Linked DNA regions of Mus musculus. Each later gene encodes a partner of the first gene's protein in a complex. Links are inferred from orthologs where the notes say so. Each region holds a gene or a part of one and is shown in the gene's direction. Other genes may lie near its edges. The genes, in order: Cask, Lin7a, Lin7b, Lin7c and Dlg1.

Evidence for each region.
Region 2: Cask (region 1) and Lin7a share a complex: the UniProt entries of both Homo sapiens proteins name them as parts of the brain-specific heterotrimeric complex. The link is inferred for Mus musculus from reciprocal best matches to the Homo sapiens genes CASK and LIN7A.
Region 3: the proteins of Cask (region 1) and Lin7b are in contact, whole or in part, in an NMR structure (PDB 1Y74), measured with the Mus musculus proteins. Residues at the interface, in NP_001271432.1 of Mus musculus: Ala405, Arg408, Ala409, Glu411, Val412, Glu415, Ile416, Tyr419, Glu421, Asn422, Asp424, Ala425, Glu427, Leu428, Ile431, Leu432, Gln434, Phe437, Ala439, Leu440, Leu441, Thr443, His444, Val447, Ala448; in NP_035828.1 of Mus musculus: Leu10 (codon at 1,168), Asp13 (codon at 1,177), Val14 (codon at 1,456), Arg16 (codon at 1,462), Ala17 (codon at 1,465), Leu20 (codon at 1,474), Leu21 (codon at 1,477), Arg23 (codon at 1,483), Leu24 (codon at 1,486), Ser27 (codon at 1,495), Glu29 (codon at 1,501), Leu30 (codon at 1,504), Pro31 (codon at 1,507), Pro32 (codon at 1,510), Lys34 (codon at 1,516), Leu35 (codon at 1,519), Ala37 (codon at 1,525), Leu38 (codon at 1,528), Val41 (codon at 1,537), Leu42 (codon at 1,540), Ser44 (codon at 1,546), Phe46 (codon at 1,552), Cys47 (codon at 1,555), Ile50 (codon at 1,564), Arg51 (codon at 1,567), Tyr54 (codon at 1,716).
Region 4: Cask (region 1) and Lin7c share a complex: the UniProt entries of both Homo sapiens proteins name them as parts of the brain-specific heterotrimeric complex. The link is inferred for Mus musculus from reciprocal best matches to the Homo sapiens genes CASK and LIN7C.
Region 5: the proteins of Cask (region 1) and Dlg1 are in contact, whole or in part, in an NMR structure (PDB 1RSO), measured with the Rattus norvegicus proteins. The link is inferred for Mus musculus from reciprocal best matches to the Homo sapiens genes CASK and DLG1. Residues at the interface, in XP_038955489.1 of Rattus norvegicus: Gly339, Ala342, Ala343, Arg345, Ala346, Val347, Gln349, Val350, Ser353, Leu354, Glu356, Ile357, Leu360, Thr361, Asp367, Leu368, Phe370, Leu371, Ser373, Val374, Phe375, Asp377, His379, Leu380, Thr382, Leu383, Leu384, Asp385, Leu386, Tyr387; in NP_036920.2 of Rattus norvegicus: Arg4, Asp7, Thr8, Arg10, Ala11, Leu12, Leu14, Leu15, Tyr18, Lys21, Leu22, Glu26, Asp27, Leu30, Ser33, Ile34, Arg36, Val37, Ser39, Ile40, Phe41, Ser43, Leu45, Phe46, Leu49, Ile50, Gln53, Glu57, Val58, Leu60.

The regions. Positions count from the first base shown.
Region 1 is NC_000086.7:13,843,750-13,848,047, reverse strand, and holds the start of Cask (peripheral plasma membrane protein CASK), read left to right. Parts: upstream 1-1,491; 5' UTR 1,492-1,981; coding exon 1,982-2,040; intron 2,041-4,298. UniProt on the Homo sapiens protein: Multidomain scaffolding Mg(2+)-independent protein kinase that catalyzes the phosphotransfer from ATP to proteins such as NRXN1, and plays a role in synaptic transmembrane protein anchoring and ion channel trafficking.
Region 2 is NC_000076.6:107,270,477-107,274,631, forward strand, and holds the start of Lin7a (protein lin-7 homolog A), read left to right. Parts: upstream 1-1,354; 5' UTR 1,355-1,384; coding exon 1,385-1,466; intron 1,467-1,917; exon of another isoform or gene 1,918-2,788; intron 2,789-4,155. UniProt on the Homo sapiens protein: Plays a role in establishing and maintaining the asymmetric distribution of channels and receptors at the plasma membrane of polarized cells.
Region 3 is NC_000073.6:45,367,757-45,371,698, reverse strand, and holds Lin7b (protein lin-7 homolog B), read left to right. Parts: upstream 1-1,134; 5' UTR 1,135-1,140; coding exon 1,141-1,177; intron 1,178-1,453; coding exon 1,454-1,572; intron 1,573-1,712; coding exon 1,713-1,784; intron 1,785-2,348; coding exon 2,349-2,558; intron 2,559-3,231; coding exon 3,232-3,395; intron 3,396-3,700; coding exon 3,701-3,722; 3' UTR 3,723-3,808; downstream 3,809-3,942. UniProt on the Homo sapiens protein: Plays a role in establishing and maintaining the asymmetric distribution of channels and receptors at the plasma membrane of polarized cells.
Region 4 is NC_000068.7:109,889,497-109,893,678, forward strand, and holds the start of Lin7c (protein lin-7 homolog C), read left to right. Parts: upstream 1-1,381; 5' UTR 1,382-1,388; coding exon 1,389-1,425; intron 1,426-4,182. UniProt on the Homo sapiens protein: Plays a role in establishing and maintaining the asymmetric distribution of channels and receptors at the plasma membrane of polarized cells.
Region 5 is NC_000082.6:31,662,133-31,666,242, forward strand, and holds the start of Dlg1 (disks large homolog 1), read left to right. Parts: upstream 1-1,310; 5' UTR 1,311-1,356; intron 1,357-1,802; exon of another isoform or gene 1,803-2,189; intron 2,190-2,688; 5' UTR 2,689-2,719; coding exon 2,720-2,738; intron 2,739-3,442; coding exon 3,443-3,574; intron 3,575-4,110. UniProt on the Homo sapiens protein: Essential multidomain scaffolding protein required for normal development. Recruits channels, receptors and signaling molecules to discrete plasma membrane domains in polarized cells.

The DNA.
Region 1 (4,298 bases):
GATTTGCAAGAAAGAAATGAAAAGGAAAGAAGGTTTAGCTCCCAAATATTTAGCAAGCAAATCAGCCAGGCTCTCGAGGGAGTGATTAAGGGTTTGTACAGATCGTTTTGTTTTTTGTTTTGTTTTGTTTTGTTTAAAGGAAATGGGCTTTATCTTCACCCTGCCCCCTGCACTTTGGTAAATACTAGTTTAAAAAATACCGCGCTGAGAATTTTAACAGATGATTTCTGGAGAGCTGACTTATGAACTAATTGGACACTTCTGCTATGAGGAGGAACAAAGACTTCTTTTTTTATTGGTCTTCAACTAAGGCATATACCTGTCTGGTGGCGTTGGCTCATTCTGCACATGCTCAGTTGAACAGAAATCTTCATATTGCATACAACCTAGCACAGCGGCAACACCCACAGCCTTACTCCGCGGCTGACCCTGTGCGTCCATTCCTTCTAGTGACATTTTTTTATGCTAAGAACTCCAACACTTATAGGGAGTGAACAAAGCAGATGCTGGTGCTGAGGAACAATATTCAATGGATTTAAAGTCTCTTTACGACACTCTTTTCCTGGTCCGTCTCTAGGTTTTGTCTAGCAGCAATAGAAACTGCATAGATATTGGTTAGTTTGGAGCGGGTGGCAGGCGAAGCTGTTTCGCTAGTTCACTGTTCTTGTTGTACACCTTCCTCTGCAGTTTTTGTTCCGTCCTTTCCTTGGACAATTCTCCCCCTCCCCCAGCCCTCATCTTCATTAAGGAATGGCAAGGTGGCACTAAAAGCATCCACCGCCGCCAAACACGGTCTTGAGTGACAATCTTTCTCCACCTCCTTTCAGGCTTTTTCATTCATTAGAACCTTTTCTCTGCGTTTCCCCCCTCCCCCAGCAAAAACCTGGGGAACGGCTTTCTGAGATTACGAAAGAAGAGGGAAAGCTGCCAGAGTGCTGAGCACGCCGTCTAAGAACGTGCAGACTGCTATGGACCTTTTGTCCCTCGCCCCTCTTCTCCACTTGGTCGCAGCTTGGGAGTAGAGGCGACGACCTCCACCAGCCCCACCTCAGCAGCTGCAACCCGCAACCCGGGCAGCTCCGCTAGCCGACCCCCAGCGCCCTCTAGATTCCCCGCGCCCGCCGGTTCTTCGTGACGTTGCGGGCGCTGCGCGCAGGCGCCACTGGGAGCGCTTTTTTTTTTTCCCCCTCCCTTCCTCCGCCTCCTTCCGCGGTCCACGCCTCCCAACGGGCTGGAGGGGCGGGGCCTGCGGGTCTCGCTGCCGTGCGGGCCGAAAGGGAGGAGGGTTAGTCCGCGCCAGGCGGGTGCTCGGGCTCGGGAGCCTGGCGGCTGCTGAGGCTGAGGGGAGGAGCTGAAGGCAGCGGTCGCGGCTCCCGCCCGCACTGAACGCTCATCCCGCGAAGCCCCCTCCCACACTCGGGAGGGCGGCGGCGGCGGGAGGAGGAGGAGAAGGAGGAGGGAGCGTCTCTGCCGCCGCCTCCTGGTCCCCAGCGCGGATCAGCCGCCACCACCTCCCTTCGCGACGATCCTCCCTCCATGGTGCTGCCGCGGCCCCCCCTGTAGCCCGAGCTGCCCCGCGCCGCGCCGGAGCCGGTCTCGGGCAGAGGGAGCGGTCGCGGCCTCGCGGCCCGCGCGGGCTGACGAGCGGAGAGTGCGGCGCTTCGCGGTCCCCGAGGGTCCGCACGCCCCGGCAGCGCGGTCGCCAGCCACCGCGCGAGGAGCAGCGGGCGGGCGGGCGGCGCCGGGCCCGGGCCGCCCTCGCTCCCACGCCCCGGCCCCGCCGCCCGCGCCGGGGCGGCAGCCGGCAGAGGAAAGGCGCTGCAGTCTCCGGGCCTCACGGCCCCAGTCGAGCTTCCTCAGCACCGAGGGCTTGCGGGTCCTGAGTGGAGGACACGAGCCCGGAGCCGGGCACTGAGCTCTTGGGCGCCCCCAACCCAGTTTTCAGAACCCTCCACGCTGCGGCCGCTGTCCCCTTCGGACCATGGCCGACGACGACGTGCTGTTCGAGGATGTGTACGAGCTATGCGAGGTGATCGGCAAGTGAGTCTCCACGCGAGGGAGCGGGAGTGTGGAAAAATGCTTTTCAGCGATGCCCGGGGCCTCCCGCACCCGTTCCGGGCCTGCCCCCTGCCCTCTCTCCCTCCCCTCTGCCTCCCTCGTTCTCTTCACCCTGGAGAATTTTTAGACGTGTACCTGGGTTTCCTGCCAGGAATGGGTCTGGGGGCTTCTTAGTAATGCGTGGAGGCCACCGAGCCCCGGTCGGCCACCCCATAAGGCGTGGGGCGGGCTCCCTGCATTTTATCTGACGGTTACACAGGGACGTGGCAGGACCGATTTTGTAGTTGCTTCCTGGGAACAGTTGGGGTTTTTGTTACCTTTCCTGTACCATAGACCTTTCACGAAAAGAGCAGCCTGCATTTCATGAGCTTGTGTGGAGAGAGCGAGAGAGCGCGTCCGGGGTTTTTAATTGTGGGGTGTGTGTCTATTGTGCCAGGATATTAGACAGATGCCTTTGTGTTCACCCCATGCCCGGATTTAAGAGGGTCATTGAAGACGGATGCGTCCAGTTTCAGCAAATTCTTCACCTGCCATAGACAAACATAGAAAGAGTTGGGGGCACCCAAATTTTTAATGCCTCGTTATGCAATGACTGTACAATCAGTGCTCGAGGCTCCCTTCCACTGTTGTTGGGATGGTGGTTAGCGTGGTAGAGCCGTCTGCTTTGAGTCACCGGGCTGGTCTAGAATATAGAACTGACAGTCCAAATGCTCATCCTTTCATCTGTGTTGTATAATTACACTAGGGAAAAGCAGGGAATCAGATTAATCACAGTCCTGATTGAGAATTAAATCTGCAGTTCCTCATCTAATTGTCCAGTCCTGAAATCTGTTTTGAATTGTTTCCTTTTCATTCTTGTCAAACAGTATTCCAAGTGCACAATCCTGCTAATTTGCTTGTGAGGGAAATGCTGGCAATCTGAAGTTGATTTCCTAGTTCAGCGTGTATTCTCTGGCTTTGGAAGTTGAGATCAGATTTAAGAGCGATTTTTGCTTATTTAATAGGGCTCGTTAGATGGCTAGTATTAGAATATTTTACTTCGTTTTGGAAGCGGTGCTTTATTGTCTATTTTAAGGTCCGCAGTTGGGAAATGAAACCAAGACAGCATTTGGCTCTAGCTCTTTTAAGTTGTCTGCACTATACTCAGTTTCAATTTTTTGAGTACGGGTAACTGATTTTTTTTCCTCCATGTTGAGATATTACAATACGGCTCACATGGTGAAATTGTGGGTAGAGCTTGCTACACTCTTTTCTTAGACCCAAATGCTCCTTGCCCCATTGTTCAGTGACCAGCCTATCTGTTAAGAGGAGGATGTCCAAATGTGTCTGGTACAGTCTTTGTGGATGTGCTCAGAGCAGCGCTGTTCAAAAGCTATTTAATGAGAGCCACGTGTAATTTGTCATTTTCTAGTAGGCACTTTAGAAAGATTTCAAACAAAAAGGTGCAATTTTCGTAAAATATTTATGTAATACATTATATATAATTAGTGATTTCAGCATGAAAAAATTTTGCCATACTGTATATCTTTTCCTACTAAACCATTGAAATGCAATGTATATTTTACACTAACAGAACATCTCAATTTTGACGCTAAGCTAATTTTTTACCAGAAGTATTTGATCTGTATTTAGGTTTCATAAAATTTGCATGTGCAAAAAAAAAAATAGATTCACATATTCAAGTTGTTCCAAACGTACATAAAAGTTTTCCACTAACTGAATTTACTATTTCTAAATTTTAATCAAGTAAGCAGAATGCAAAATGCCTCAGTTCAATTAGTCATATTTCAAGTGCTTAATATCCACAGCCTACTGCCACAATTTTAGAGAGAAAAAAATTCAAAAATCTCCTTCATTTCTTCATTGTTGTGAGGACACAAAAAAGAGAAATTCGATGTTTCTCAAAAACCACACAAATGGCTATGAGAGTGAGGGATACTTGTTGTATCTTAGTTGTAGCTGTTGTGAGCCTGAAGTTGATAATTAGAAAATGTGGGATTAAGCTGCTTGCAGATATTGTGGTGATGGAAATAGCTATCATTGAATCAATTTTGGTGATTGGTTCTGATTTCTTCAGGTCTGAAAGGATGACAGTGTAGATTTCAAACGTGGTCAGCTTCATGTTAGTAGTCTGTGTTGTGCTGACTTAAAATTGAGAAAATATTTTCAGAAGACACCCCTAGTAGAATTAAGTTTATCCATTCTGTTCTGCAGCTGCAGAAGGAGGAAGAGCAAGCGAA
Region 2 (4,155 bases), on another chromosome or scaffold:
CAGATCCTGGGAGCTGTGAAAAGTTGAATTTCATGGTTAAAGTTCTTAAACTTAAAACTCTTAGAAGATGACTACATTGAAAGACTACGTTCAGCATGTATCCAATGATCTGTTGCATAGTTAGATGGTCAGTCATCTTTGACTTTTCAATTCCTGCTGAATTTCTGAGCTTTCTCACCTCTTAGTCTCATTAGAAGAACGTAGCATTTGGTCATACGCAAATACTCTGCAACCCAGTGGGTCTACCTCTGAGGGTCTCTGGGTCACAAGGATGATTTAGCTGTCACAGGGAGGGCAGCATCGCCATCTCAGCTCTGTGTCCACCAATCTCGGTAAAGCCCAGAGGATCTTTCTCCATGTTTCTTCATGGTTTGATAAGGAAATGAGGCTTGGTGAACATTTAGTGAAAGTTGGGATTAAGGCTCATAGTCAGTATTTGAAGGCTCCAGGAACTGAACTGTGATCTACTGACTCAGAAATAAGGCCTTTCACATTATCTACCTGTAATTCGGAGGATGCAGAGAAAGAAAACAAAAGTGAATCCCCAGGTTAAGATGTAGCAAATGGCACCAAACATCCGTGGCTCAACTCTTGTCATGCATGCTAATTAATAAATAGCACCTCTGAATACAAGTTTCTTCCAGATTAACAGGAGAGGGTCCCTGATAAATACTGTTCACTGACAGCAACTCGTTTTTTATTTCAGAACCTTTTAAGGAAGTTTGCTTGTAAAGGCAAGTCATTTTCCTAGGCAATGTACCCAGGTCCTAAACGAACACTGACTTAACAGAACCCTGCCTGGCCCTCAGTCGGTTACCTTGTGCTGTTGAGAGTGGACGTTCTAAACAAAAAGCTTCAACAGAAATTAACAGCAACTACAATGATATAGCAACATCTCCCACGGCTAGTGGCGTTTCCTCTGGAAAGGGATGTGGAAAGGGAGGTTGAAATTTTTTCTTAATCTGAAAAGAATTCTGTCCCCCCACCTCTCTACCCCTGTCTGTCTCTCTCCCGTTTCTGAGTCCTCTTCTTCTGGGTTCGAGTGCATTCTGACCATTATGCTTAGGTGGAAAGTTGAAAGACAGCAAACCTGCTACAGCCACCCAGAGCTACTGACGGGTGGGCGAGCAAAGTTCTAGGGCTGAGCGTTCCTTTCTCAGCTCCTTGGCCAGGCAGGCGCTCGCGGCTACCTGCCCTGCTTGGCGCCGCACTGAAGATTCGCCGCGGCGGAACAGTTGAGTCTCCATCTGGCTACCAACCCACCCGAGCTTTCTTCTCCTCCATCACCACCTTCCTGCCTCCCCCTCCTCCCCCTCCTTTCCGTCTTCCCTCTCCACCCCCGCCCCCAATCTCCTCCTCTTTTTCTCACTACAAGCGGTTGCTGATGCTGAAGCCGAGCGTCACTTCGGCTCCCACGGCAGACATGGCGACATTGACAGTGGTCCAGCCGCTTACTCTGGACAGAGGTAAGGGAGCGGCTGGTCCGTCAGGCCACACAGTCCGCACCGCTTCGCCCTCCGCCCTGCCCAGTCCCACAGGGAAGGCAGGATGCGCTCGGGCAGGGGCAGCTGGGGGAGGAGGATCAGCCCAGGAGGGTTTCGCGCCCGGAGCAGGACACTTTCTTCCCCTCTCTCCTCTCCTGGTCCCCGCTGCCCCTTCTTGCTGCGCTCTCCGGGGCGTAGGTGCTTGCCAGGGCTCGAATGTTTCAGCTGACAGTCTCGGTCCCTCGCCGGGTCGCCTCCGGGCCCCGGCTTTGTTGGAGAGGATGCGCCGGGACCGCTGAGCGCTGGTGACTGGAGGTTGAAGAGGGGCAGAGAAAGCTCTCCCAGCCAGAGCTTGCTAAGGGACCAGTGGGGAAGCTAGCTGCCAACTGCCGGCGCGGGGACCCGAAGGGAGGAAGTTTGTCCCCGCGCTGGAGATGAGGGGTCTGTGCAGCTGTTGTGACTGGGAGATCGCCCCAGGGCGGCAGGGCGCTTGGCTGGGAAGCTGGGTGCAAAGCCGCGGGACTGCCTGGCTAGGGCGCTGCCCTCGGGCGAAAGGGCAGAGCAGAGCTCGGGCAACCTTCGCTGGCTCAGGGACACCGCATCCGGAGCCGAGCCGGCTTGGCTCCAGCTTCCCGCTCGGAGCTGCGGCTCTGGTCTTGGTACTCCCTCAGCCTGCAGTTCCAGGGAGGTAGCAACTCCTGTCTCCTGCTCCAGCAAACCTTGTTCTTCACCAGTCAAGTGTACCTCAGTGCCTGGGCTGCAGAAGGCGCGGAGACAAAGCGCAGGCTGGGTAACTGTTTAACTTCTAGCCTGTGACCTGTGCGTCCTACTCTTTGGCTGAAACGGAAAGAGCTTTTGCTCAAACCTTTCCAAACCTTTCCAAACCTTTCTCTAGGATCGGGCCCTGCTGAGTGCACCCGAGTAGTACCTGGCGGTGGATGGGAGTTTCCTTTCTGCCTCACCAGGTCCAGTTAGTTATTAGGGCTCCAGAGTCCCCAGCTCTGCAGAGAGAGGGCACCTCTAGCTCTGGGTCCGCAGCGGCGGGGCTTAGGACCCGGTGCAGTCATTTGAAAATGCTGTGCTCAGAAGAAAATGATTTAGTCCTTGTCCCTCTAAAATTTCTCTTTCTGGAGGATTAAACTAGCGGCCCAGCAAAGCAAAAAGAGCATCGTACAGCGAGCACAGTGGCAAAGCTGGTAAACTGTATTTGAGGTTCTTAATGTGGAGAGATCTCTGGTGACTTTAACTCAATCTGTTGGTGCCAGAACGGATATTATGCGGTGCCCATAGCAACCTTACTTAGGGTAAGAGTTGAAAAATAATTGATTTTTATGTTGGGAAATGTTCGTTTACAGATTAATAAGAGTAAAGAGCTCAGAAGTCCGTCGTATAATCTATGATTTTAGTCCCAATATCATCTGTACTAAGCAGGATAAATCCATTGCTGGTAAGAGCCAAACAGATGGCAGGCTATTAAAAACGATGGGTTTCCCAAGTTATTTCTGTTTTAATGTGATGAGCTCTTCTATTGTCCCATTACTGAATTACAGTCATTAAACACCCCAAGTTTAACTATATTAAACAACCCAAGTTCTAACTATGTTAGATGCAAACACTCCAAGAAGACAACATACTCAAGCAAATTTACATCCCACCACTACTATTAGCAATGCAACTAGTCCACTTTGGGGAAGTTTATCTTAGCCCTTGGACACCCCAGTCAGCTATCTAGAGAAGACCAAGATTTAAAGTGTGTTCTTGTTTATATTCAGAGGGTACCTGTCCTTCTGTGATTAGATCTGTAGAGTAAGTAACAAAGGAAGCCCAGTCAGGTTATCTATGGGAACATCTGAATTATTGAACCACTGGCTTTAAGTGCTCTGTGTGTAAGAAGTCCGTGAAGTTATCTTCCCTCTAATTCACTATGATAGTACACCAAGTTAAGTAATTTTATTAGGTTGATGGAATATGTGATTCTAAGCTTTGTCCTGGTTTGGTTGGGCATTAGGACATGAAGGTCTGATAATTGTGAAGATGTGCAGTGTTAGCAGCCTGTAATTCGGTTAACCCAACTTAGGGCTCAGCGTTTGGCCACCTACTGGCGATTTTGGGTCACTCCAAGTTTCCAGAGTGCCATTTGATACGTTGGTGGCCCATGTTATACACTCTAAATTTGCTCACTCAAAAGCTTTTGGCTCCATCAAAGCCTTTATAATTTACAATCCTTCTTTCCTTTAGTCTCCCCCAATGTGTAAAGCTCCTTGAGGGACGAAGCCATTTCTTAACCCATCTTTGAATTTCTCATCATCCCTGACTTGTGATGGAGTATAAAGTCAATGTAGACTAGTGATAGTGAACTGAAGCTGGAGTAAATGGAGAACTGTTTGTTATACAGATTTCATACGGAACTGGGGTACAGTTATGAGGTTATGGCCCTGCAGAGCTAGCAAGGATGCTAGAAAGGAGCACGTAAGGCGGTGGCTATGAACCGTTCCCAGATTCACTTGGTGGATCTCTACCAGCCACACCTGTTTAGCAAGACTGGGTTTCTTTATGTAGTCCTTGCTGTCCTGGGACTTGCTTTGTAGACCAGGCTGGCCTTGAACTCAGAGATCTGCCTGCCTTTGCCTCCTGAGTGCTGGGATTAAAGGGAATGTGGCATCTCGGGCCT
Region 3 (3,942 bases), on another chromosome or scaffold:
GTCCACCTCAGTGCTCCCCACTCCACCTCTCACCCAAACAGGCAGCACTCCACGTTAGTGGACCAGTCTCCAGGGCCTTATCTGCCCTTCTGCCCCTTCTGAAATCCAGTCTCCCTGGAGATCTTCAGATAGGTATTTGACCATCTTGTACACTCTCAGGGGTTTATATGGAGACACAGATCCAAATGCAAATTATAACACAAGACCACTGTTTTGCCGTCACCACTGCCTAGCCTCTTGGCTACTCTCTGGGTGGCTGCTGGGGTGACCCAGGTCATACAACTTGTTGACTTTATCTTCCAAGCATCTCTAAACTATAAAGGTCTTATTCAAGTTTCTCTCTCCTCTCCTCCTCTCTCCCCTCCCCTCCCCTCCCCCCCCTCTCTTTCAGTGTGTGAGTCTAGGTTAGTCTAGACAGGGTCTCACTATGGAAATCACTGACCTTGGAAGTGCTGAGATTAAAGACGTGGACCACCGGGCTCTGTGTGTATGTTTTGTCAGTCTTACGTAGACTTGGCTAGCCACAAGACTTCAGTGTAACTGAGGGTGACCTTGGGCACTGTTCCGATCACCCTGCCTCCACTTCTGAATGCTGGGATTACAGGTATGATTTATGCTCTGCAGGGTGCAGGACCTAGAATCTCAGCCTGCAAGGTTAGCACTCTTCGACTGAGTTACCCCTTCAGCTTTTATTTTTCTGCTTTCTTGAAATAGGCTCTTGTTAGGTGTTTCTGTCTTCCAAGTCACAGCGATCCTCTTCTATAGGCCCCTGGAGTCCTGAGAACCCACGCCCCTCTGTAGAAATGAGGGGAAGTTACCAGAAAAGCACAGACATACTGTAAAGAGCAAGGCAGACACACCAACGGAGTAACAAGATCGCGGCTAGGATAGACCTATGATGGGCAGCAGATAGTGATGTAGGAGCGAGACACCCAGAGGGGGAAGGTCTCTAGAGTTCCGGAGTGGGCGGGACCCTGCGCAGCACCGCCTCCTGTCAGTGTGAGGGCAGGCCCTCTGAAACTGTTGGTTGCCGTGTGGGCAGGGCCTCATGCACCACCTCCTTGCCAGCACCTGGTGGGCGGGGCCTCGCATTGCACCTCCTCGCTGGCGCCTGGGCGGGTGGCTTGCATTAGAGGCGATATGGCTGCACTGGTGGAGCCGCTGGGGCTGGAGCGGGGTAAGCGCTCCGAGGGTCCAGTCCGGGCTCTGGGCTCCGTTGGGTTGCGACAGGCTTTGCAGATGCGGGGGTTGGGGGGCGGACCTAGTTAGGGTGGGCGGGGCGCGGCCTGCAGTCTGAGGGCGTGGGAGGGTCTGGGGCGGAGCGCCCCACCAACACCTCGCCCAGGGTTGGGGTCCCCGCGACCCGCGAGGCACGTGGATCGCTTCCAGTCTGACCTCGATTGCCCTTCTTGCTGCCGGCGTATGCTCTCGCGGTCCCTGCCGCTTTCTGCAGACGTGTCCCGGGCTGTGGAGCTGCTGGAGCGGCTGCAGCGCAGCGGAGAGCTGCCCCCGCAGAAGCTGCAGGCCCTGCAGCGGGTCCTGCAGAGTCGCTTCTGCTCCGCCATCCGCGAGGTGAGCATCTTGGTTCTGTATAAGTTGTAGTTTCCTTGCACTCTGCGGCGGGGTCGGCGACGGGCGAGCGGACGAGGACACCGGTGTCCAGGGCTGTGGACTGGCAGCTCTCTGACGTTGCCGTGTCCCCGACTTCCCAGGTGTATGAACAGCTCTATGACACGCTGGACATCACTGGCAGCGCCGAGGTGCGGGCTCATGCCACAGCTAAGGTAAGCTCCTGCTCCGGTAGCTCTGGGTGACCACGAAAGCAGTGCCCTCCTTCACATCAGCGCATCTCTGTGCCACCCTATGAAGATTTATTTATAATGCCCTTTAAATAACTGCACATTTTTAACTTGAATGCACATGAGATTCTCTCTAGCAACAGGCTTGGAAACTGGCCTCACTTTCCTGTCGGTAAGATGACCCTAAAAGGCAATCCTGTTGGATGTTGTGAACAGGGACACCTTTCCAAACTGCAGTGCTTATTACTTATTACTGCCTGCAGACTCAAGATTTACACCTGATCCCTATCACCCCACCCCACCCCCGAGGTGGGGGGGGCACTTGTTTCCATTTGTCTGAGAACAAGATTGGCAGGTGTTAAGTACTAAGGATGCCCTTCTCCCTGACTTTCGGAAGAAAGCAAGGGTTCTCACAGGTCGGAGTCAGTATAGGGTAGCCTCCTGTTGAGCTGTGTCAGGGTTCCCCTACTTGATCTTTGCGGCTACGCTGGCTGGAGTGCCCATGTCTCAAAGAGGGTCTCTCTCATTGAGGCGTCTTCTCTCTTCCAGGCCACAGTGGCTGCTTTCACGGCCAGTGAGGGCCACGCACATCCCAGGGTCGTGGAACTACCGAAGACTGATGAGGGTTTGGGCTTCAACATCATGGGTGGCAAGGAGCAGAACTCACCCATCTATATCTCTCGAGTCATCCCTGGGGGCGTGGCTGATCGCCATGGTGGCCTCAAGAGGGGAGACCAGCTGCTGTCTGTGAATGGTGTGGTGAGTGGGGTTGGTAGTGTCCGTAAGGCAGCCCTGGACGGTCACATTCCCTCTACACAGGGAACACAGCCTTTGGAGACAGCACTGTGGGGTACACTGCTGACCCTCAAGGACTTCAGAGAGCCTAGCTAGGATAGCAGCCCAGTGTAGAAGATGGCAGTTGTTTTCAGGAGGAATATTTGGCTTGGAGGTTGAAGGTTGGGTACTTCTCTGAACTAAGATGTGGAGGGGTGGTTCTGGCTCGGAACAGAGATGGTCCCTGAGATGAGGAGAAAGGCTGGCTCTGCCTGATGTCTGGGCCAGTCAGCATCCTGAAACCCCAGTGATTAGAATCCAAGGAAACACCACCGAGGAGGTCGTCTCTCCAGAAAAGCCCGGCTTCTGGCCCTGGGCAGTGAGGGCAGGAGATCAATAAGCTTAGGGGGTGTAGACAGACTTTTTTGGGACAGGTTCAGTGGCCTGGTTCATTGAGGACACTGGGACTCAAAGCTATCTTGACATGCAGTTTTTAGGTTGTGGGTGCTGTGCCTAAAGTTGGTGATCCACTAGAGGGATATGAGGCCTTGGAGACTTGACCCCAGCAGCCGTGTCACTATCCACTGGTCCCATGTCCTGGGTAGGGTGGTAAGGGCAGCGGTTTGGGCCAGCAGTCTGTGCGAGGCCTGCCCTGCAGAGTGTGGAAGGCGAACACCATGAAAAGGCGGTGGAACTCCTGAAGGCTGCACAGGGCTCAGTGAAACTGGTGGTGCGCTACACTCCTCGGGTGCTGGAGGAGATGGAAGCCCGCTTCGAGAAGATGCGATCTGCCCGTCGGCGCCAGCAGCACCACAGCTACACGTGAGCCTCCAGTCACCATCCTCTCCCTGCTGCCTTCCCCAACCTTAGATACCCAAATCAGGCCAGTGAGCACAGCGGCCTTCAACATTTATCTCTGGCTCTCCACCAGGGGTTTTCTGACCTTTGACTCCTGCCATGGTAGCTAAGGCCCTGGGACCCTCTGGCTCCCCAACTCCAGAAGCCCTGTGCCTGATTTTCTGAACTGTTGTCTCCAGAACCCCACCATTGAACATCTTACGCGCCCTCCCCCACCCCACCCCTGAACCTACCCTGTGTCTAAAACTCCCCTCTCTACACCCTCACAGGTCCTTGGAGTCTCGAGGCTGAAATCACAGACCAGGACCCTCCTTCTCCTCCCCTGTACAGTATTATTTATTGTCACTGGCTCCTTATTTAAAGATCTTTAACCCTCACCGAGTGTCTTGTGTGTCTGTCGCGCATCCTGGAATAGTCTCTGTGGGGGAGGAGGACAGTGAAGCTGAGGTTAAGAACAAGCTCATTCCAGTCTGTGTACCATGATAGACAACGCTCGCGCAGCTCTGAAGGC
Region 4 (4,182 bases), on another chromosome or scaffold:
TAGAAAACAAGGAGGGAATTCTAGTTTGAGAATTATTCAATTTTCTGTAACAGTTTTATAGCTTGCAGAGTCCTTCCAGCTGTGTTAAGGAAAGAAAGTGCATCCTGTTTCAATTTCTAGTCCTTAGAAGGTGACCTTTTATTCTCTGGAAACTTTTATGGTCTTCTGCGTAAGCCTGGAATTCTGGGATTTTTTGTGTGTTTATCATCAAAGACATGGAAAAAGACTACTCCAAAGGAGCAGAAGATAGAGATAAAGCTCAGATTTGTGTAGCTTGTACAAGTCTGCAGATTCGAGTCTCTGGAAAAGTAAGTAATGTGTAACCCCAGCTCATAAGAATAGCTCCTGTCAGCCAAGAAAACCTGTGTCATTTGTATGGAGCATGAGGAAGCTTGAAGGCTACTGCCCAGTGGTGGGATTCAACTACCTAATAACAACATGTAGAAAACTGCAGTTCAACGGAAAGAATGGGTCACCTGCAACCAGCTATTAAAACAATCCTGTCGTGCAGGTGTTACAAACTTAACACTGGACTATGATCTTTGCTACCCAAATCCAAGTTTCACAAAAATTATTTCATTGAAATTAGTGACTAAAAATATTTGGGTCCACCAAGTCTTCAAGAGTGGCCCTATGAGGATCTGGAGATGACAGACAGTGCTGTTAGGAGTACTGGCTCCTTTTCCAGGGGTCCTGGGGTTAGATTCCCAACACCCACAGGGCAGGTCTCAACCATCTGTAACTCCAGTTCCAGGGGAATAGATGCCCTCTTGTGGCCTCAGGTTTGTAAATGGTGCAGATATACATAAGGGCAAAACACCCATTAATATAAAAATTCTTACAAATTACAAAATGTACCCATAAAACAAAATCTATGCTTCATCCTTCATTCACAAGCAGATTTTGAATCGGCTAACTAAAAACAATACTTCGTGTATACCAAAGCGTTCTCTCCCGGTTGTTTTTTTTCCCACCTTTCTGCTCAAAGAGAGTTTTAGATAAAATTCGAATTGTAAATTTTTTAAATTAGATCAAGCTAGGATATTAAGAATTTATAAGAGGACTCGGACATGGGGAAACCAGCCTAGACGGTCAGAGGCTGCCGTCGGTCGGGTAAGGGCCGGAACTAAGGTCCTGACTTCCCCGAGGCAGGGGACACTCGGGACATCGGTTCTTTTCAACCTCAGGTTGTTGGAAGTGGACGAGCACAGACCCACGAAAGGAGGCCACCCGTCGGTCGCAAAGCGTCCCCGGCTACCGCTCTGCGTAGTTACCCGCATCCTTCTAGCTCTCGCGTTACTACCATCCTCGCCCTTCCGCTTTCTCGGCCTGGTCCACCGCGGCCCCTCTGTCGTCACTTCCTGTGGGTCTGCACCTCCGAAGAGAAGATGGCGGCGCTGGGCGAACCTGTCCGGCTGGAAAGGGGTGAGTGCGGCGGGGGTCGCGGCCGCGGTGGGTGGGGCGGGTCGAGACTACGAACCGCTCTGCCTGCGGGCCGGAGCGGAGGCAAGGTGACCCGGACGCTGAGCCCCGGAAGCCCTCGGCGGCCTCGGCGCCGGGCGCTGCTCGCGGGGGGCGCTGGCTGGCGTTTGAAAGCTCGCCAGAGCCGGCCGTTGAGGCTGGCGGCGGGCACAGCACGGCTCAGCGGCCTGCCCACGGCTGTAGGCACGGGCGCTCCCTGGGTCCGCACCGCAGCATCGGCTTTCAGCTTCATAGACCCTAAAAGCCGAGGCCACCACGCAGCCCGGCACTGTCTACGGTCAGTGTGCGCGAACAGATCAGTGTGGCCTCTTGGCCTGGTTCTGCCACTTGGCCGACACAGACACATTCCCGCAGAAACTCCCTCGCCCCCATTTAAAACTCAGACTCCTTCAGTACTGTGACCACAGCCTCCGGGCTTTGAGTTGCTCTTTCCTAACTTTCGCACCCCTCCAGCCACGGAGAGGATGCTTACAAAAACAAAAACAAAAAACAAACAAAAAAAAAACCCTCCAACTGACTTGATCTTGGGAAGGAGATTACATAACTAGGTGGAGTAGTGATTTGATTGTAAGTCACTTTTAAGTGCCATGCAATTCCATACTCATAAACCCTACACTTGGAAACCTGGTTGGTTGATTGCTTCTTAGAGCAAACAGCCAAGAAAAACCAACCCGATTGAAGAGAAGCCTGTGAAAAGACTCTCCCAGGGTCCAGTTGCAGCTTTCCAGTATTGTACTCTGTTCTGCCCCAACTTAAATTTCAGACAACTGGAACAAGCTTTGTACAATTCGGTAGTCATAGTAACCAGAAAGTACCAGTTAAGCATTTCGAGTGCTGTTGGCAAACATCGCCTGGGATGGAGTTTGACATTGCATATATTTAGTATTCACAATTATAATCTCAATATCGTCCAAGAAGGAAATCATTTTATAAAATTTGTGTATGTAATAGAACCTCTTTCCTCACACACTGTGCTGATTATGATTCGTTTTGCTTTTTATTGTAGTGACCATGGGAGCCTTTTGTTTCTTTTTAAATAAATGAACTTGTTTGTGACAGGGTAGCTTGGGAAAGAATAAGGTAGGCTTACAGCTGTGTCATTTTCCCCTCAAGTACTACGGTGTCAATGTGCTTTGAACACATTGTTACACAGGAACAAATCTGTTGGTGTTAACCAGAAGAGTTGCAAGTTTCAAACAAGATGGCGTTCTTTTGTATCTTTAAATGAAGCACAAAATGTGGACCTTTTCCCTCTGACATCTGCTTTTTGCTGTTAGGAAGTTTTTCAGTTAAACAGTAGAAAGCTCAAAATATTGGTAGGAATGAAGTCCTAGTTGGTTTTTGCCAGTTAGCAGGATAAGCAAGGCAGTTGGTGTCAAGTCCGATTCTGATCAAGAATTCTAACAGACCTAGCATATTCTCAAAAGTTCCACAGTACAATTCCACAGCAAAATACCAGTACATATGACCAAGTTCCTGTTTGCTTCAAAATCATCAAAGCACAATTCACTGGTGCACAAACTTAATGAGCATATATTTGGTATAGAGTGTTTAACTCATTTCTAAGTGTCTCCCTTCTCTCTACCCTCTCCTATCTCCTCTTTTCCTTCTTCCCACCATGTTGTATTGAGTTGAGAGCCTTGTACATATTAGGTGAGCACTCTGCCACTGAGCCGTTTTCCCAGCTGTATATGTAGGATTTTAATGTGGATAATGTATTGTGACTGTAAATCAACAACTGCTGAAACAACATTTACTAGCCATTCTGGTGGTGGGACATCAGAGCAAAGCTGGTCTGTTTGATTAACTGATTAATAGCAGTTTAAACTTTTATTATCTAAAACTGAATCAACTTTTTGCTTCTCTACTAAGTTTATTTGGACTTTTTCATAAACAAATGCAAAGTCCTAACTAATTCTGTGAAGTAAATGCCTGGTATTTTGTTGTTGTTGTTGTTGTTGTAGTTGTTGTTGTTGCGGGATTAAAGGTGTGCGCCACCACGCCCGGCTAAATGTCCGGTTTTTAACGTGGCATGAAATCAAAACTTTCCTCTAGTTAAGTCAAAGTATGCAAGGATCAGAATATATAGGATAGTATATAGACTTATATAGACTCTAAGGTATCCTAACCTTTGGAGCCAAATGAGCACAATTCAAACTTACTTAATTAAATTTAATTAGAATTTACTGCTACTTAATTAGCAATAAGAATATACTGAGGCTGGGGTTCAGAAAAACCTTAGGAAAAAACTCAGAACAGAGATTGTGATTAATAGTGTTATAACATGAAGTTGAGTTTTCTAAAGTTCTTTGTTCACATTTTTTACATTCCCAATGACAGTTATCTAATATGCTAAATGTGTCTGTGTGTGTGTGTGTGTTTGTAGCTCTTTCATATTTTTTTCTTTTTAAGTTGTATATGTTGGGAGACTTTGGAGAGGGGCGTGGCAGAAGAGGGTGTCAGGTCCGTGGAGGTTTAGGTAATTGTGAGATGACCAAGTGGGTGCTAGGATTCAGGAAGTGCTGAACTATGTCTTTGGCCCCTAATACTTTAATATTTCTCTGTATAGCCCTGGCTGTCCTGGAACTCACTCTGTAGACCAGGCTGGCCTCAAACTCTGAAATCCGCCTGCTTCTGCCTCTCAAGTGCTGGGATTAAAGGTGTGCGTCACCACTGGCCGGCTTAATATTTCTTAAAATT
Region 5 (4,110 bases), on another chromosome or scaffold:
ATCACGGGGAACGTTTTTCTTTCACTTTCTGAAAGGAGGTAGATCTACCTGAGCTCTAAAGTCCTAAGGTTCTCACAAGTTAGGATTCTAAGGTACAAGCCAAAAGTGAAACCCAGTCATCAGCATACTTGGGTTATGGCTATCGTGCAAGGTTCTTCTCTGACTTTTCCATTGTCAAGGACACAGAAAAGGCCTGTCAGGTTTATTGAAAAACCAAAAAACCCCTCATCTTTCTCCCCCTTTAATTAAAACACAAGTACCGGTAGATTGATTTTAAATGTGTCTGTGCATGGAGGTTAAAGGACAAACAGGAGGCTCTCTCCTTCCACCATGTGGGACCCAGGGATGGAATTCAGGTTATCAGGCTCATAGGCAAGAACCTTAACCAAGCGAATCATCTTCAAGCTGGATCCAAGCAGATCCAGCCTTACGGTTTGACACACATGGATCTCTGCATTTCTGGTTCTGCTTCAAGAACTTCTGACGACTTTGGAAAAATTCTCCTGGGCTATGGAGCAGAGAAGTTCCTGCTGCTCAAAAGCAGCTCGAGTCAGTGACTTGGAGAACTTTCCCCTTCAGGCTCAGTTCTAGAGCAAGTGTCCCTTGGGACTGTTTGTTGGGCTGTGAGGTGCTTGAAATTTAAACTAGGTGTGAGGGCTGGCAGCGAGAGGCTTGCTTTCTTTGTTTTCCACCTGAGACAGGGTTTCTTCTCTGTGTAGTCCTAGCTGTTCTGGAACTCACTGTTCTGGATGGCCTCGAACTCACAAAGATTAGCCTTACTTAGCCTTTCTGGGATTAAAGTCCTGTGCCACCACCGCTGGGGTAGACAGGTGAGTTTCTTAAAGGGACCGCCATAAGATGGGTAACTCCTGGGAGCATCTCTGGGCGGGGACACATTCATGAACGCACAAATGAATGCAGGCATGAATGAATGAAATATTAACGACTGAACTTTTCACTTGTTTAAACGGCTCGTACTAGGAGTTAACCACTTAGACCTAAAAATCCTCTGAAACCCTCAAACGTTTAGCAAACTAATCCGTCTCCGCTTTACATCCGGTCCTTAATGAAACTCCTCAAACCTTTTTTTTTTTTTTTTTTTTTGTTTTTCTGGACAAACGAATAATTTAAAAACCAGCAAAAAGTGGAAGACATACAATACCCCTTCCCCTCCTAAGTCCCTTCTTCCTCCGCCCCTTAACGCGGGTGACTGGTGCGCAGCTCCGCACAAATTCCTTTTTCCCTGTTGGGGATCCACCCCGGGCGTGCCAGGCACTCTTCCTTTCTTGAAGTTGGCCAGCACGTGTTCAGTGAGGTGAGGGGTGTCTTGAGCTTGTTTCTTGGGATCTAGCGCAGGTGAGGTCACTTCTCTCTTTCAAAGTCTCCAGCAACTCGAGTCCGGCGCGCTAGTTCAGAACCGCAGGCCACCGGAGGTGGGCTAGGGCAACGTGCAGGCTTGCTGTCCCAAAGCCACTTCGGGCCACCTGTAGAGCGCGTGTCAACTCCTTTGTCCCCAGAGCCGCTTCCACCGGAGCTCCTCTCCGCAAGGCGCTTCCCTGTGGATGCTTAAGGGTCCTCCTTCCAGTACTCCAGCCCCCTCCCCGCCCTCCTCCCGGCCCTCCTCCCTTCTCCAACCCCGGTAGCAGCGCCCGGAGCCCGGGGCTCGGAGCGAGCCGCCTCCTCACTTCTCATTGGCTGAGAGCGTCGGGGAAAGCAGTCACGTGGGCGCGCGGCAGGCCAGCTCCAGGGCCGCCATCTTGGCGGAAAGTTTAGGGGGAGAGCGACTGGGGGCGCGGAAGGAGGCGAGGTTCCGGGGGTGGGGCGGCCCGGAGGCGAGCGGACGAGCAGGGGCCGCGGGCCGCGGCGAGCGGGCGAGCGGCGGCGGCCGAGGCGGAGAGAGCGGCGCGGGGGTGCGGCCGCCGAAGGGGGAGCTCCTCCCCCGTCCCCTCACCCCCTCAGCTGAGCTCGGGGCGGGGCGGGGTACGTGGAGCGGGGCCGGGCGGGGAAGCTGCTCCGAGTCCGGCCGGAGCGCACCCGGGGCGCCCGCGTACGCCGCTCGCGGGAACTTTGCGGCGGAGCCGCAGGTGTGGAGGCCGCGGAGGGGGGTGCATGAGCGGCGCGGAGAGCGGCGGCTGTCCGGTCCGGCCCCTGCTGGAGTCGCCGCCGGGAGGAGACGAACGAGGAACCAGGCAAGCGAGAGGAGGGGGCCCGAGCGGGCCGGGGGAGCAGCCGGGCGCTCGGCTGGGCGCTGCGCGGCTGGGCACGGGCCGGCCCGCGGCAGCAGGTGGGGAGCGTGGCAAGCACGCCTTGGCGGCGGCGGCGGCCGCGGCGGCCGGGCTTCTCCTCTTCAGGTGCTCTTTGCGGAGGGGGGAGCTCTGGAGGCACCTACCGAAGCGGGCTTGGGTCTGATCTTAATCTGTAGGGGGCATAGCGACCCCCGAGAACTCGCTTTCCGCTTTGGCTGACACTGCTGGGGGTTTGAGGCTTCTGCTTTTTTTCCACTTGGGAAAACTTTGGAAGGTGGGCAGTTCCACCAAGGTTGGAGTTTTTCCCTAGTCGAGAGTTTGGGGCGGGGGATGGGGTCGGGTAGGGTGGGGTGAAGTGGGGTGGGGCGGGGGCAACGAATGGATCCACGATTCAGTTCATTGCATTAGTTCAAGTTTTCCTTCCTGTTTTGTGTTTGTAAAGGTGTGTGCCGCCTTCCTGATTCTGGAGAAAAATGCCGGTCCGGAAGCAAGGTGAGAATTTATTTTGGAACTGTTTTGTGGCTGTCACTTGCTGTAACATACATCAGTGTTGTGGTTACTGTTTTTAAAAGGTTTGTGTGACTTTGAGGAATCAGCAGGCTCTCGCTTTTATTCCTTATGGTATCAGAGCTTCCCATCATTTCAGAAGGTGGAAACATCTAGTTGGTTGCACACACCTTCTTGACATCTGTAGTCATTACAGAAGCAATCAACAGAAGCAATCTGCCCCCTACCATGTCTTTTTCAAAACTTCATTGCTTCAGTATTTCACTTTATCACTCATATCAACACTATTTTGTGAGCAACTCTGTGAGCAACTAGGAATTAATGTTTTGAAACACGTTTTGGTTATAGGAACAAATTGTAGATAACTTGTTCTTGTCTGTTAGGCATTCTAAAAACCAAGTTGCTATCAGTTTAGTTAGACGGTCTTTTAGTCTTGGAAGCTGTCAGTCCACAGCTAACACAGGCTACTCACTTTCTCCTTTCTCTGCTGTGATATAAAGCCTTTAAAATATTTGTCTTAGTAGGGAATGGAATATGGATATAGTGATGGCAGCCCTTGCCTTGGAGGCTCAGGGGAACTTATAGATGTCTTGTAGAGGTAGCGTGTAGCACTCTCATGTAAATATGTATGCAGATACACACAGAGCCTTAATATATACATGAAATTTTCACCGTATTTGTCTTTTCAGATACCCAGAGAGCATTGCATCTGTTGGAAGAATATCGATCGAAACTAAGCCAAACTGAAGACAGACAACTCAGAAGTTCCATAGAGCGGGTTATTAACATATTTCAGAGCAACCTCTTTCAGGCTTTAATAGGTGGGAGTTAAAACTTTTCTACTCTTGACCACTGTACTAGTGCCTGATGCTTCTCTGTTATGTTAAACTTAGAATTTGAAAGACAATGTGTTTGGCTCTCTAGATGGTCCTTAACTTAGGACATCTCTAGTGATTTTTTATTTTGCAGTTAGGCCACTGTCACTTCTAAAAATGTTTAATTATCAGAAAAACTTCTGGTCTGGTGATTTCTGTGCACTTTGAGAGCACAGTTTCATGTCTTAGAGTTAACAGCTGGAATATGGACAAGTTGTAGAAATGTTTTAGGACACCAGTCGTGACAACTGAACTACTGTTGGTGTTTTTGTAGTTGGCGTGTGTTTCTCTGGAATCCTTGGAAATATTTGAAAGGCTCTGCTGCTGTGCTTGAGAGCATTTGCCTCTCTGACACACACACACACACACACACACACACACACACACCCTCTGTTAGAGTTGCCATTTGTGGAATATGAATTTTAGACCTGAAACATGATCTCAGAGATGATGCTGTCTAATTACCTTATTCTAGTATTCCT